Linked DNA regions of Mus musculus. The protein of the gene in region 3 binds, or shares a complex with, the protein of the main gene of each other region. Links are inferred from orthologs where the notes say so. Each region holds a gene or a part of one and is shown on either strand. Other genes may lie near its edges. The genes, in order: Prkcz, Cdh5 and Pard3.

The links.
Region 1: Pard3 (region 3) and Prkcz share a complex: the UniProt entries of both Homo sapiens proteins name them as parts of the par polarity complex. The link is inferred for Mus musculus from reciprocal best matches to the Homo sapiens genes PARD3 and PRKCZ.
Region 2: the proteins of Pard3 (region 3) and Cdh5 are in contact, whole or in part, in an NMR structure (PDB 2KOH), measured with the Mus musculus proteins. Residues at the interface, in NP_296369.2 of Mus musculus: Ala599, Gly600, Leu601, Gly602, Val603, Ser604, Val605, Lys606, Gly607, Arg609, Lys611, Lys622, Ile625, Asn655, Gln656, Met659, Arg663, Met666; in NP_033998.2 of Mus musculus: Tyr774, Gly775, Asp777, Gln779, Glu780, Glu781, Leu782, Ile783, Ile784.

The regions. Positions count from the first base shown.
Region 1 is NC_000070.6:155,270,890-155,274,541, forward strand, and holds part of Prkcz (protein kinase C zeta type), read right to left. Parts: intron 2,139-3,652; coding exon 2,052-2,138; intron 716-2,051; coding exon 580-715; intron 398-579; coding exon 310-397; intron 1-309. UniProt on the Homo sapiens protein: Calcium- and diacylglycerol-independent serine/threonine-protein kinase that functions in phosphatidylinositol 3-kinase (PI3K) pathway and mitogen-activated protein (MAP) kinase cascade, and is involved in NF-kappa-B activation, mitogenic signaling, cell proliferation, cell polarity, inflammatory response and maintenance of long-term potentiation (LTP).
Region 2 is NC_000074.6:104,129,017-104,132,668, reverse strand, and holds part of Cdh5 (cadherin-5 preproprotein), read right to left. Parts: intron 3,458-3,652; coding exon 3,270-3,457; intron 1,763-3,269; coding exon 1,512-1,762; intron 1-1,511. UniProt on the Homo sapiens protein: Cadherins are calcium-dependent cell adhesion proteins. They preferentially interact with themselves in a homophilic manner in connecting cells; cadherins may thus contribute to the sorting of heterogeneous cell types.
Region 3 is NC_000074.6:127,371,455-127,375,106, reverse strand, and holds part of Pard3 (partitioning defective 3 homolog), read right to left. Parts: intron 3,612-3,652; coding exon 3,229-3,611; intron 1-3,228. UniProt on the Homo sapiens protein: Adapter protein involved in asymmetrical cell division and cell polarization processes. Seems to play a central role in the formation of epithelial tight junctions. Targets the phosphatase PTEN to cell junctions.

The DNA.
Region 1 (3,652 bases), on a different chromosome or scaffold from region 3:
AAACCTGGGCTTTCTTGTCGTTGCTTCATGTTCCTTTTTCTCCTCCCTGGCCTTAGGACTCCTCAGAGAGAGGAATGTTATTCAGTGTCATCTGGTGGGCCTCAGGGAGTATGCAACGGGTAACCAGCTGGGAAACCCTGAGGGGTGTTCTGTGTTATTTTTGGGTATAATTTGGCCATATATCTCCCTGCCAGGGCCACTGTAGGGTGGGCCAGACAGGTTCTTGCTCTGAGTGAAGAATGTCACCAGCTGGGGGAGACTTCTGGAAGGTGTCCACCTACATTTACCTCCCTCGTGGCTCACACTCACCGTACTCTTCTCCTCGCAGGATTTCGGGGGCGATATAGTTCGGGGTTCCACAAAAAGTGCTTGTTGTATCACCGGGGCCTAGACCTTCCTGTGGGGACAGTTACCAGGAAGGTAAATCTCACATGAAGCAGCTCTCCTTAGGAACACTGACATTAAGTTACAGACAGGGGTGCCTCAGTTTGGTCACCACTGAGCTATGCCCCATCAGTGAATACTCCTGCGGGGTGTCAAGGGCAGACAATCGAGTTGGGGGACAGGTGAGGCGGGCACCTTGCACATGCCGTAGTCCGTCAGCTTAATGTGTCCGTCGGCATCAAGGAGGACGTTGTCCAGTTTTAGGTCCCGGTAGATGATCCCCCTCTCATGCAAGAAGTTGAGAGCGATACAGATCTCAGCAGCATAGAACCTGAGGTATTGGGGGGGGGGAATTCTGTAGTCAGCAGGGAGACGGTGGCAGGCAGGCAGCCAGAGGCTGGTACACATAGAGCCCCACAATGTATCCCTGGTCACAGGGGAATGCAAATGTACATTATAGTGAGATTCCACCTCCCACCCACCAGAATGGCTACTTATCACAGCCAGAGTAAGTGAAGGGAACATGGGACACTGGACATCGCACGAATAGTAGGTGAGAATGAAAAATGTGACTAGAGGAAGGTCCCTCAGAACATGAGAGCTAGGGCCATGTGCATCTCAGTGGGAAAGCTCCTGCCTTGCTTACATAAGTATGGTCCCCAGCACCAGAACAAACAAGTGAATAAGCATGAGAACCAGAAAGTGGTGTGTATCAAACAATGCCACTAACACAGTATGCCTGAGGCTGGAGACAGTGGAGGAGGCCCAGTAAGAACAGTGGATATGAGGAAACGCCTCTATGAGATCCGTTACCCTGTATGCGGATTTTAAAAACTGGAAGGAGAAAAGAATCAGAAGTGGGGGTCTCAAGCACTGGGTTGGACACCTCAACCTTCAAAAGGAAAGGCTATGTGGTGAATCATGAAGACAACATCACGCCAAGTCTGATATACGAGAAGATACTTGGGGCGCTCTCTGGAATCGGACAGGAGGGCCGGAGATGAAGAGCCTGGCAGTCGGCATTCACAGGAGCAGGGTTCCAGTGTGCGACATAAAGGGGCTCTATGTGTGGTGGTGGCTGCACAGCAGTGTGATAATCAACTTCCTGGCACTTAACTATCTACTGAACTATCTGGCCAACACGGCAACATGAACGCTGTGTGCGTTTAACCATGAGTTTTATAAAAAGCAAGTGGACGGGCAAGAAGCTGTTGTTGAGTTTCTGCCCACTTTCCCCAAAAGCGGCCTCGGTGACTCACAGGACTTCGTGGGGAAAACTAAGGTAATTTACGGAGGAGGGGGCCATCCAGGGGAAGCACGAGGACAGGGGGCTGGATGGCAGCTGTTCAAGGCCAGAGACGGGACCAGGGAGCCTCTCCTGATGCTAGTGAAGGCCTGCTGTACTCTACTGCTGAGGGAACGTGGACTTTAAGGGAAGAGGACAGAGCCAAACCAAACAGCTGGGGAGCCACTCGTCTTGGGTGAGGGCCTTCTGCTCAAAGTCTGGAGAGGGACCAGTCCTGGGCACAAAGCTCCCAAGATTCCCCCTGAGGGTTTGGACTGTCTTATACCATGGGAAGCTCTCATCTCTGCCACCTTCTGCCCAAATCTGCCCCCCTCTTCTCCCTGCTGGCCTCCTGAGGAGAAGTCCCCGGCCATGGACTCACCTGGCATGCTCCTCTGGAAGTTTTCTCTGCCTCTGCATGTGGAACATGAGGTCCCCGCCATTGACATACTCGATGACCAGGAACAACCTGGGCAGGAGAGAAGGGCAACGGGTCAGGAACCAAAACCCGAAACATGCTGTAGGCGAGGTCACCACCAAAAGGCCAGAGTGCATGGAACCTCCGCGGGGGTCGCTTTTTTAGCTTTGGGTTGAGTCACCCCTGGGTGCTGACCGGCTGCCTCTTACAGAGATTTGTAAGTGAACAAAACAAAGAGGTGATGGGGTACCTGGGAGCTCCTGGGGTCAGGGAAAACCTCAAGGTGAAAGGGAGGCTGAGGCTGAGTTTGACGTTTGGACCAGTGAGGTGTGACGCATGGTTTCAGATTGACATTTGGGGTCCAAGACCATGTTGGATGATGGGTGTGGCTTCATCACATGATGCCAAGGTAGGACACTGTTTTTGGAAAATTAGGAATAGACTTAGGCTGGACAGTGCCGGTACACTCATTCCTTTAATCCCAGCATTTGGGAGGCAGAGGCAGGCAGCTGGGCTCCAGAGTGAGTTCTAGGACAGACAGGGCTACACAGAGAAACCGTGACTCGGGGGGAAAAAAAAACAAATAAATAAACACAGAAACAAAGAGATAGAGTTGGGTGTTCATTCACCTATCTGTTCATCTCTGTGTTCCCAATGGTGCTAGGTCTGTTTTAGGGGTTAAAAAAAGTCACCATAAGGTAGAGATGAAGGCCAGAGGCCTTGGAGTTAGGGATAGGAGAAAAAAGTGACCAAAGAGGAAGCAGAGGACTGATGGAGCACAGAGAGAACTGATGGAGCACAGAGAGAACTGATGGAGCACAGAGAGAACTGATGGAGCAAGGGGAGGACTAAGGGAGCACAGAGAGGACTGATGGAGCACAGAGAGAACTGATGGAGCACAGAGAGGACTGATGGAGCACAGAGAGGACTGATGGAGCACAGAGAGAACTGATGGAGCACAGGGAGAACTGATGGAGCACAGAGAGGACTGATGGAGCACAGAGAGAACTGATGGAGCACAGAGAGAACTGATGGAGCAAGGGGAGGACTGATGGAGCACAGAGAGGACTGATGGAGCACAGAGAGGACTGATGGAGCAAGGGGAGGACTGATGGAGCACAGAGAGAACTGATGGAGCACAGAGAGAACTGATGGAGCACAGAGAGGACTGATGGAGCACAGAGAGGACTGATGGAGCAAGGGGAGGACTGATGGAGCAAGGGGAGGACTAAGGGAGCACAGAGAGAACTGATGGAGCACAGAGAGAACTGATGGAGCAAGGGGAGGACTAAGGGAGCACAGGAACGTCTGATGGAGCATGGGATAAGGGGAGAACAAAGAGTTGTGAGCCATCCTGGCTTAGATGAACAAAGAGAGGATCCATGGGGTAGGTGCCCAGTCAGATATAGGGCAGGTGAGCATCTCAGGGGAACATGGTTTAAGGGTTGACTGCTCTTGTCTCTGTATGTGGATGGACTCCGGGAACCCATCTGCTGAGAGAGGGTCTGTATGGATCAAAGAGAAGAGAATGAGGAGGAGCCAGGCTCAACTGAAGGTAACTGCCA
Region 2 (3,652 bases), about 23 Mb from region 3:
CACAATATGTATTCACTGATAAGTGGATATTAGCCCCAAACCTAGGATACCCAAGATATAAGATATAATTTGCTAAACACATGAAACTCAAGGAGAATGAAGACTGAAGTGTGGACACTATGCCCCTCCTTAGATTTGGGAACAAAACACCCATGGAAGGAGTTACAGAGACGGAGTTTGGAGCTGAGATGAAAGGATGGACCATGTAGAGACTGCCATAGCCAGGGATCCACCCCATAATCAGCATCCAAACGCTGACACCATTGCATACACTAGCAAGATTTTATTGAAAGGACGCAGATGTAGCTGTCTCTTGTGAGACTATGCCGGGGCCCAGCAAACACAGAAGTGGATGCTCACAGTCAGCTAATGGATGGATCATAGGGCTCCCAATGGAGGAGCTAGAGAAAGTAGCCAAGGAGCTAAAGGGATCTGCAACCCTATAGGTGGAACAACATTATGAGCTAACCAGTACCCCGGAGCTCTTGACTCTAGCTGCATATATATCAAAAGATGGCCTAGTCGGCCATCACTGGAAAGAGAGGCCCATTGGACTTGCAAACTTTATATGCCCCAGTACAGGGGAATACCAGGGCCAAAAAGGGGGAGTGGGTGGGCAGGGGAGTGGGGGTGGGTGGATATGGGGGACTTTTGGTATAGCATTGGAAATGTAAATGAGTTAAATACCTAATAAAAAATGGAAAAAAAAAAAAGGATTAGGTCATGAGGATGGGCCCCCATGGTGGCTTAGTGGCTTTATAAGAAGATGAAGAAAGACCTACACTGCCAAGCTCATTAGGTCTTCCCATGTTGCAGCAAGCAAAACCTCATTAGATGGCAATCAGGTGCTGGCACTGTGCCCTTGGATTTCCAAGCCTGTAGACCCTTAAGATAAATAGAGCTCTGCAGTTCATAAATTATCCAGCCCACGCTACGAAGTTGTAACAATGGAAAACGGGCTAGGATTGACGGACTGTGCAGAACATGATCCAAAGCAAATGGCAGCAAAACCACAAACAGGAACAACGAACACAGCATCTGTGCATCAGTTGGTTCATGTGGCCATGAAGAAAAGAACACTCAGCCTACTTGAGGACCAGATGGGAGCGGGAACTACCATAGATCTCTTTATAGAAGTGTGTGGTTTCAGCAAGTGAAAGCAACACTCTGGCTTTTTGTCTTGGGAGAAATATCTCGAAACTATTTTTTGGTGACAGGGCTTCAGATAACCCATTCCTGCTTGATGACCTCATTAGACAGGAGCTATGTGAGTCAAGGCCTAAAGTCCTTTAAAGAACAGAGGATGGCCTGGACCAGACAAGATAGACAAGACAGGAGCTGGCGGGACAAGGATATGAGTGGAAAGAGCCAGGGTCTAGCCTCAGCATCTTTCCATGGAGGTTCTGGGAGACAGTGTCCTCCCTTGAGCCTTGATCTCAGACCATCAGGCATAAGAATGCCGATGCCAGGATCACCATGGCATTATCACCTCACACCCACCACTTCCATACCCGATGCTGCGCTGAGCCTTGTCAGGGTCTTTGGCCACCACAGTGCCGATCAGCGGTTTCTTCTGGTTTTCTGGCAGCTTGAAGTGGTAGAAGTGTCGCTGGAAGACAGGGGGCTCATCCACATCTAGGACGTTGATGGTGACCATGGCTTTGTTTTTGCCTGAAGTGCTGCTCAGGTATTCGTATCGGATAGTGGGGTCTGTGGCCTCAATGTAGAATGTGTACTGCTGGATGACTTCATAGTCCAGGGACTGCATGGGTGAGAAGTATGGTGACTGATATTAGTGCTTCTCGTTTTACCGGCCCCGCCTCTGTACCTGGTCCTGTTCTATGAATCAAGGACACACTTAGGCCCAGTCCTCCTCTCAAGGGGGCAATGACCTAGTGGTTCTATTCAAAGGTAGTAGTACCTTTCCTGGTTTTGAGAAGAGACTCCTCCTGGGTTTGTCTGCCTAGCAACTTTTCTTCCTGTTCATCGTGAGGAAGGGGTAGCAGTTTGCTATTGAGCAGGTGTAAGAGACCCTCTCAGAAAGTACTCTAGACAGTAACACCTTCTTCTCTGGCAATATTCTGCAGCCTTGGATATACCAGTTACAGCTTTTTGTTGTTGCTGTTGTTTGTATGTCTATCTTCCCTACTGTCTGAGAGCGTTGTGGACTCTGCTGGCTGGCTGTGTGTTCTCAGTCCTCTACCTGAAAATCCTGGAAGCATGAAAGCTCCTCTCCCTCTTCTGGATTCAGTCGATCAGACCATTTGCTGCCTGCAGCAGCCACTGTCCATGGCTACTTGTGCCCTCAGGTATACATTCTTTACATATATGATGATAGATTTCTTTTATTTTTTTCCCCCAGTTCCAAAGTCTTTATTGTTTTAGAAAAGATGATCCATCCTGTCAGTATGATAGATTTCTACTGTTGGGACACAGGGAGTTAATGCTGGTGAGTTTTTAAGTGTCACCTTGCTGTTTAATCTGAAATCACCTGAGAAGGGAACCGATTGCCTAGATCATGTTACATATGGGCTTGTTTGGGTGGGGGTGGGGGGTGGGGGGTGGTTATCTTGATTGTTAATTAGTGTAGGAAGGCCCAACCCATTGTGGGGAGCACCATTCCCTAGGCCTGGTTCTGAACCGTATGAGAGGAGAAAGCTGACTGATAGCCAAAGCCACAGACAGAAAGTATGCGTGCTTTCATTTCCTTCTGCTTTTGACGCGGATGTGATGCGACCAGTTGTCTCAAGTTCCTGCCATTGTGACTTTTCCATAACAATGGACTCAGCTTGGAATTGTAAATCGAATACACCCCTTTTCCAAAGTTGCTTTTGGTCAAGGTTATTTTTATCACAATATGAGAAATGAGACTAGAACAAGTGTTGTCTGTGAGTGCTGCAGGGTTTGTGGCTGCTTATTCCAGAGCCTGATCTTCCTGTGGCAACTCTGAGACATGCTCTAGATAGCCCCTATGGGTCTGGGCCCCACTCGAACCTGTTCATCACTGATTGCCACCTATCCTTGCTCCTGAGGCTTTTAGGGATTACGGCCCAAAGAAACATGTCACACCCAAAGTATTGCCTCTATCTCTGGAACAATTCAGGCTGAGACTGTGGGTTACAGTCTCCACGAGTTCGTGGCCCGCTCTGAGCTGTACCAGAACCTTTGCCTTCAATGACCTGTGGCTCAGAAGTGATCCCTGAGCATGTCTTTTGGATCCTGCAAACTCCATAGCCCATGAATGGGCTCGGTTCTGCAGGTCTACGTACCTTCGTGGGTTTGATGATACCCTCGTTACGTTTGGGGTCTGTCTCAATGGTGAAGGTGTCCCTGTACTCGCCCTGCATGATGCTGTACTTGGTCATCCGGTTCTGAGGCTCATCTGGGTCCACAACAGTCAGAAAGCCCAAGGGCTTGCCCACTCGGATGTCTTCAGGCACCGAAAATGTGTATGTGGCTAATGTGCATAGGATACCGCAAAGAGTTAATGAGATAGATAAGACAATTGTCTCTTTGTATTATCACACATACACACACACACACACACACACACACACACACACACACACACCAAGGGTCTTACCCAGGCTAGGCAAGCACTCTATCACTGAACTATACCACCTAGCCTTTGGAATTTTGAGATAGAGGCTTG
Region 3 (3,652 bases):
GAATCGCAGAATTCTCTAACACTTCTAAAGAGCAATTTCTATTTGAGAGCATTTACTTCTTGGGCTACGTTTCAGTTAATAGGATGTCAAAGGGATGGCCATGGTGAGAAGGATGAAGAGACACACGGGGTCAAGAGTGGAGAAGAGTAGCCGAGCGTGACACGGGGTTCACATAAAAATGAATCAAAATGTGTAACACTCGAGAACGCTGACCAAAAATTATGAGTTGAAGAGAGAAAAGAACAGAAATGAATCTCAGTAGTTCCTGAAACGAAACACGCCAGAAACATTCTCAGGCTCAGACCAAACCCTCTATGCCCAACCGGAAACCACGTTCAGATTGACTGTTAGGTTTCTGCTATTGTCTGTCCTGAAGCCTTGAATGGCAAGCTGTCTGTATGAATTTTACTAATTATTCTTCTGAGGCTGTCCCATATGTCTCTGTGCCTTCACGAGACTCTAATGGCTGGCAATAACATCTATTAAGAAGGGATTTTAAATTATTCTCTTTGGCAATATTAATTCATACAAACAACAAAGATGGACTATTATATGAACCACAATTCTATTAAAATAACAGCAGTAACCCCTAAATCTATGAGTCAGAAGTTCAGGCAATGACCTTTAAGGGAAAGATAAATAGATGTCAATTTTCATCTGGTGAAGCCAACAAGACATTCTGCTCTGATGGAAACAGATTACTAACCTTCTCCTCTCGCTTTATTAAAAAGCTAATTTCTACAAAAGAGCAGGGGATTTGAGAATGCCAGAGCAGTAATAAATATTAAGAAATCATAATTATTGAAGCAAGTGAGTTGGGGCTTCTCTGTATTGTAGCCTCATGTGACAGAGTTCCAAAATTATTTCAGTGAGTGATCATCCCAGAGACTTCTCTTTTTAGTACAAAGCATTGACTCCAGCTTGCAAATTAATATCACTTAGAGCACAAAGGTTTACTTTGAGTTGAACATATATTTTACATGATCACACTATTTTTAATGGGCTTCATAAAAGTCCCTCAATGTTACAAGAACTGGTAAAGAAAAACCATAATTTTCCAGCTACAAGGAAATGTTTAATTCTAAAGCAATCATTATGGCCATATCTGTATTCAGTCCTAATCAAAGACAATCAATGTTCACTTCCTTCATAAGTATAGTCAACACAATCTGTTTATGTAAAACATCTGTAGGCACTGCTGTAAAGGCAGCAGCCACTTCTGTTGCATATCTTCTCTGCTGGTTAACAAAAATTAATATAAATCTATGGGATGCTGCATCATTCAGATTAGCAAAAATCTGAGAAAGATTTAAATAAAACCCACCACTTTCAATTTTCTTTTATGAATGAAGATTAGACTTCCTGAATTAGTCTAATAAACAGCTTCCATCTTTCTAAATGATACAAAGCAAAGCTAATATTATTAAAACACTAAGAAAATATTGACTCCTTTAATAGTAAGTAAAATGACCCTCAATGAATGAGCCCACCTTACATCATAATTTGTCATACTTATTATTTGTGCAAAACTTCAATTGATTGAATGAATGTTCCTCCTTCAGTAAAGAGACGTATGATGTTATAAATAGTATTATTTATGAAGTAGTCAGACACTGGCTAAGTGAATACCGTCTTTGTCTAGGGAATAGGAGCGGGAGCTTTATTTTTCATACACCACTGTTGTGGCACTTGACATATTTTTGGTTAAAACCCAAAGCCTGTCACTTGAGTGGAGAGAGGAGAATGTGAATTGGACCATCCCCTCCCTGACAATAGACAGAAAACAGCGCACTTCCCATACAGCTTGCAAAGCGTAGAAGCACGGTGTCAAGTCCTGTCTGTGCCAATCAAGTATTGGTGGCTCAAAAAGCCAATCATCAGAAGCTATGGCTCAAAGTTCAGTGAAAGAATTGTTCGAGGAAGGAGACAGCAGGTGCACAGCATTTCCAGTGCTACCCCCATGGAAAGGAGAATGAGCTGAATGCCACAGTATGAAAGACATGCGGGCAAGGGTTTGCCATCCACAGCGGCCCAGCACAAGTTAGTCATTATGGACGGCTCTCCAGCCCCTACTGGAGCCGGCTGAGCTCAGAAAGGCATTTTCTTCTTAAATAAAGCTATAATTTGAAAGGCACGGTTTTGAAATGCTCAGCTAAAAGAATACACAGTAAGCAAAGTGTGTCTTATCCTTGACAGAATGCCATTGGCCATCTGAAGGTCAAGTGTGGCTGTCACTCTGCATAATAGAGAAGACTAACTGTAAGCATGACCCCATGTACATGGATCTGCCATGTTCCCATGCGCACTTATTTGTCACCTACAGGAAGGAGCTACATAAGTCAATCACTGAAAGTGGGGAAGACTTAGCAGCACCCATCACCATTATCTGTCACCATCAAGGAAATGAAGTAATATTTTAGAAAACAAAGAGCAAACAGACAACTCAAACATAGGTGCCCTTTCCTATGACATGCTGAAGACTACACAGAGACCTCTCACATCCTACTGAATGCAATGTCTTGGCCAATCAAGACAGTCAGACCTCCATTATTATTCTAGACATTGAAGGAAAACCTGTAACCAATTTTTAGTATAAAAAAAAAAATGCTACCCTAGGAATAATAGCTAATTCTTGTAAACATGTGTTGTAACTTCTTCTGAACCTTTACATTTTAATCATATTTCTTGTCCATTTATGTGTACACATATGTAGGCAATTGCATATGTATCTCTCTCTGTGTGTGTGTGTGTGTGTGTGTATGTGTGAGAGTGTGTGGACCAGAGGTTAGAGTGCAGTGTTTTCCTCAAACATTCTCTGACTTATGTTTCGAGACAGTCTCTTCCTGAACCTGGACCTTGGCAGTGTGTCTAGACTGGTTAGTCGCATAGAAAGCCACCTGCCCCCCTCCCAACCACCCCCCAACCCATCAATGCCTGGCTCTTATGTAAATATTGGGAATCTGAACTCAGGTCCTCATGCATCTACAACAAGCACTTTACCACCAAATCCATCTCCATAGCCCTTTGTGTGTTTTAAGGTTGAGTAGGAATAAAGATCAGGGCAGAGTATCCTGCAAACAGGGAGCCTTGGGCTTTATTCTGAGCACTACACACTTCACAGAGGAAGATAACAACAAAGGAACACACCTATCCCCACCTCAGTACCCAAGGTACTCTCTTTAAGTAGTTGCTCATCTTCTTAAAGAAATGCGACTAAATGCATCCTACCTTTCTTAAGCTGGATGTTGAGCCTCTTGCCTACTTTCTTCGTGTTGTACACACTGCCTACGTTGGTACTAAGCACACTGGGTGGAGCCAAGGCCGGGGCTGCGGGTGGTTTGGTTGAGGCGTGAGCACTATGAGGTAGTCGGGGGTGAGCATCCAGCTGCTCGGGTGGCTGACTCAGTCTGGGTGCTCTGGGCAATGCTTGAGGGGCATTGTTGGCCACACTCCTGTTGGCCACACAGTGGCTGTCAGGGCTGAAGCGGCCTGGGGAGTAGTTGTTCTTCTCGCGTTGGGACAGTTGTTCATATTGCTCCTTGTTTGCTGCAGGGACCACATGGAACCAAATGACACGCGCACGCATAGCTTGGCGGAACATATGTTGTGCTCTGCATTTGACAAAGAGTGGAAGATTAGCAAATGAAGACCA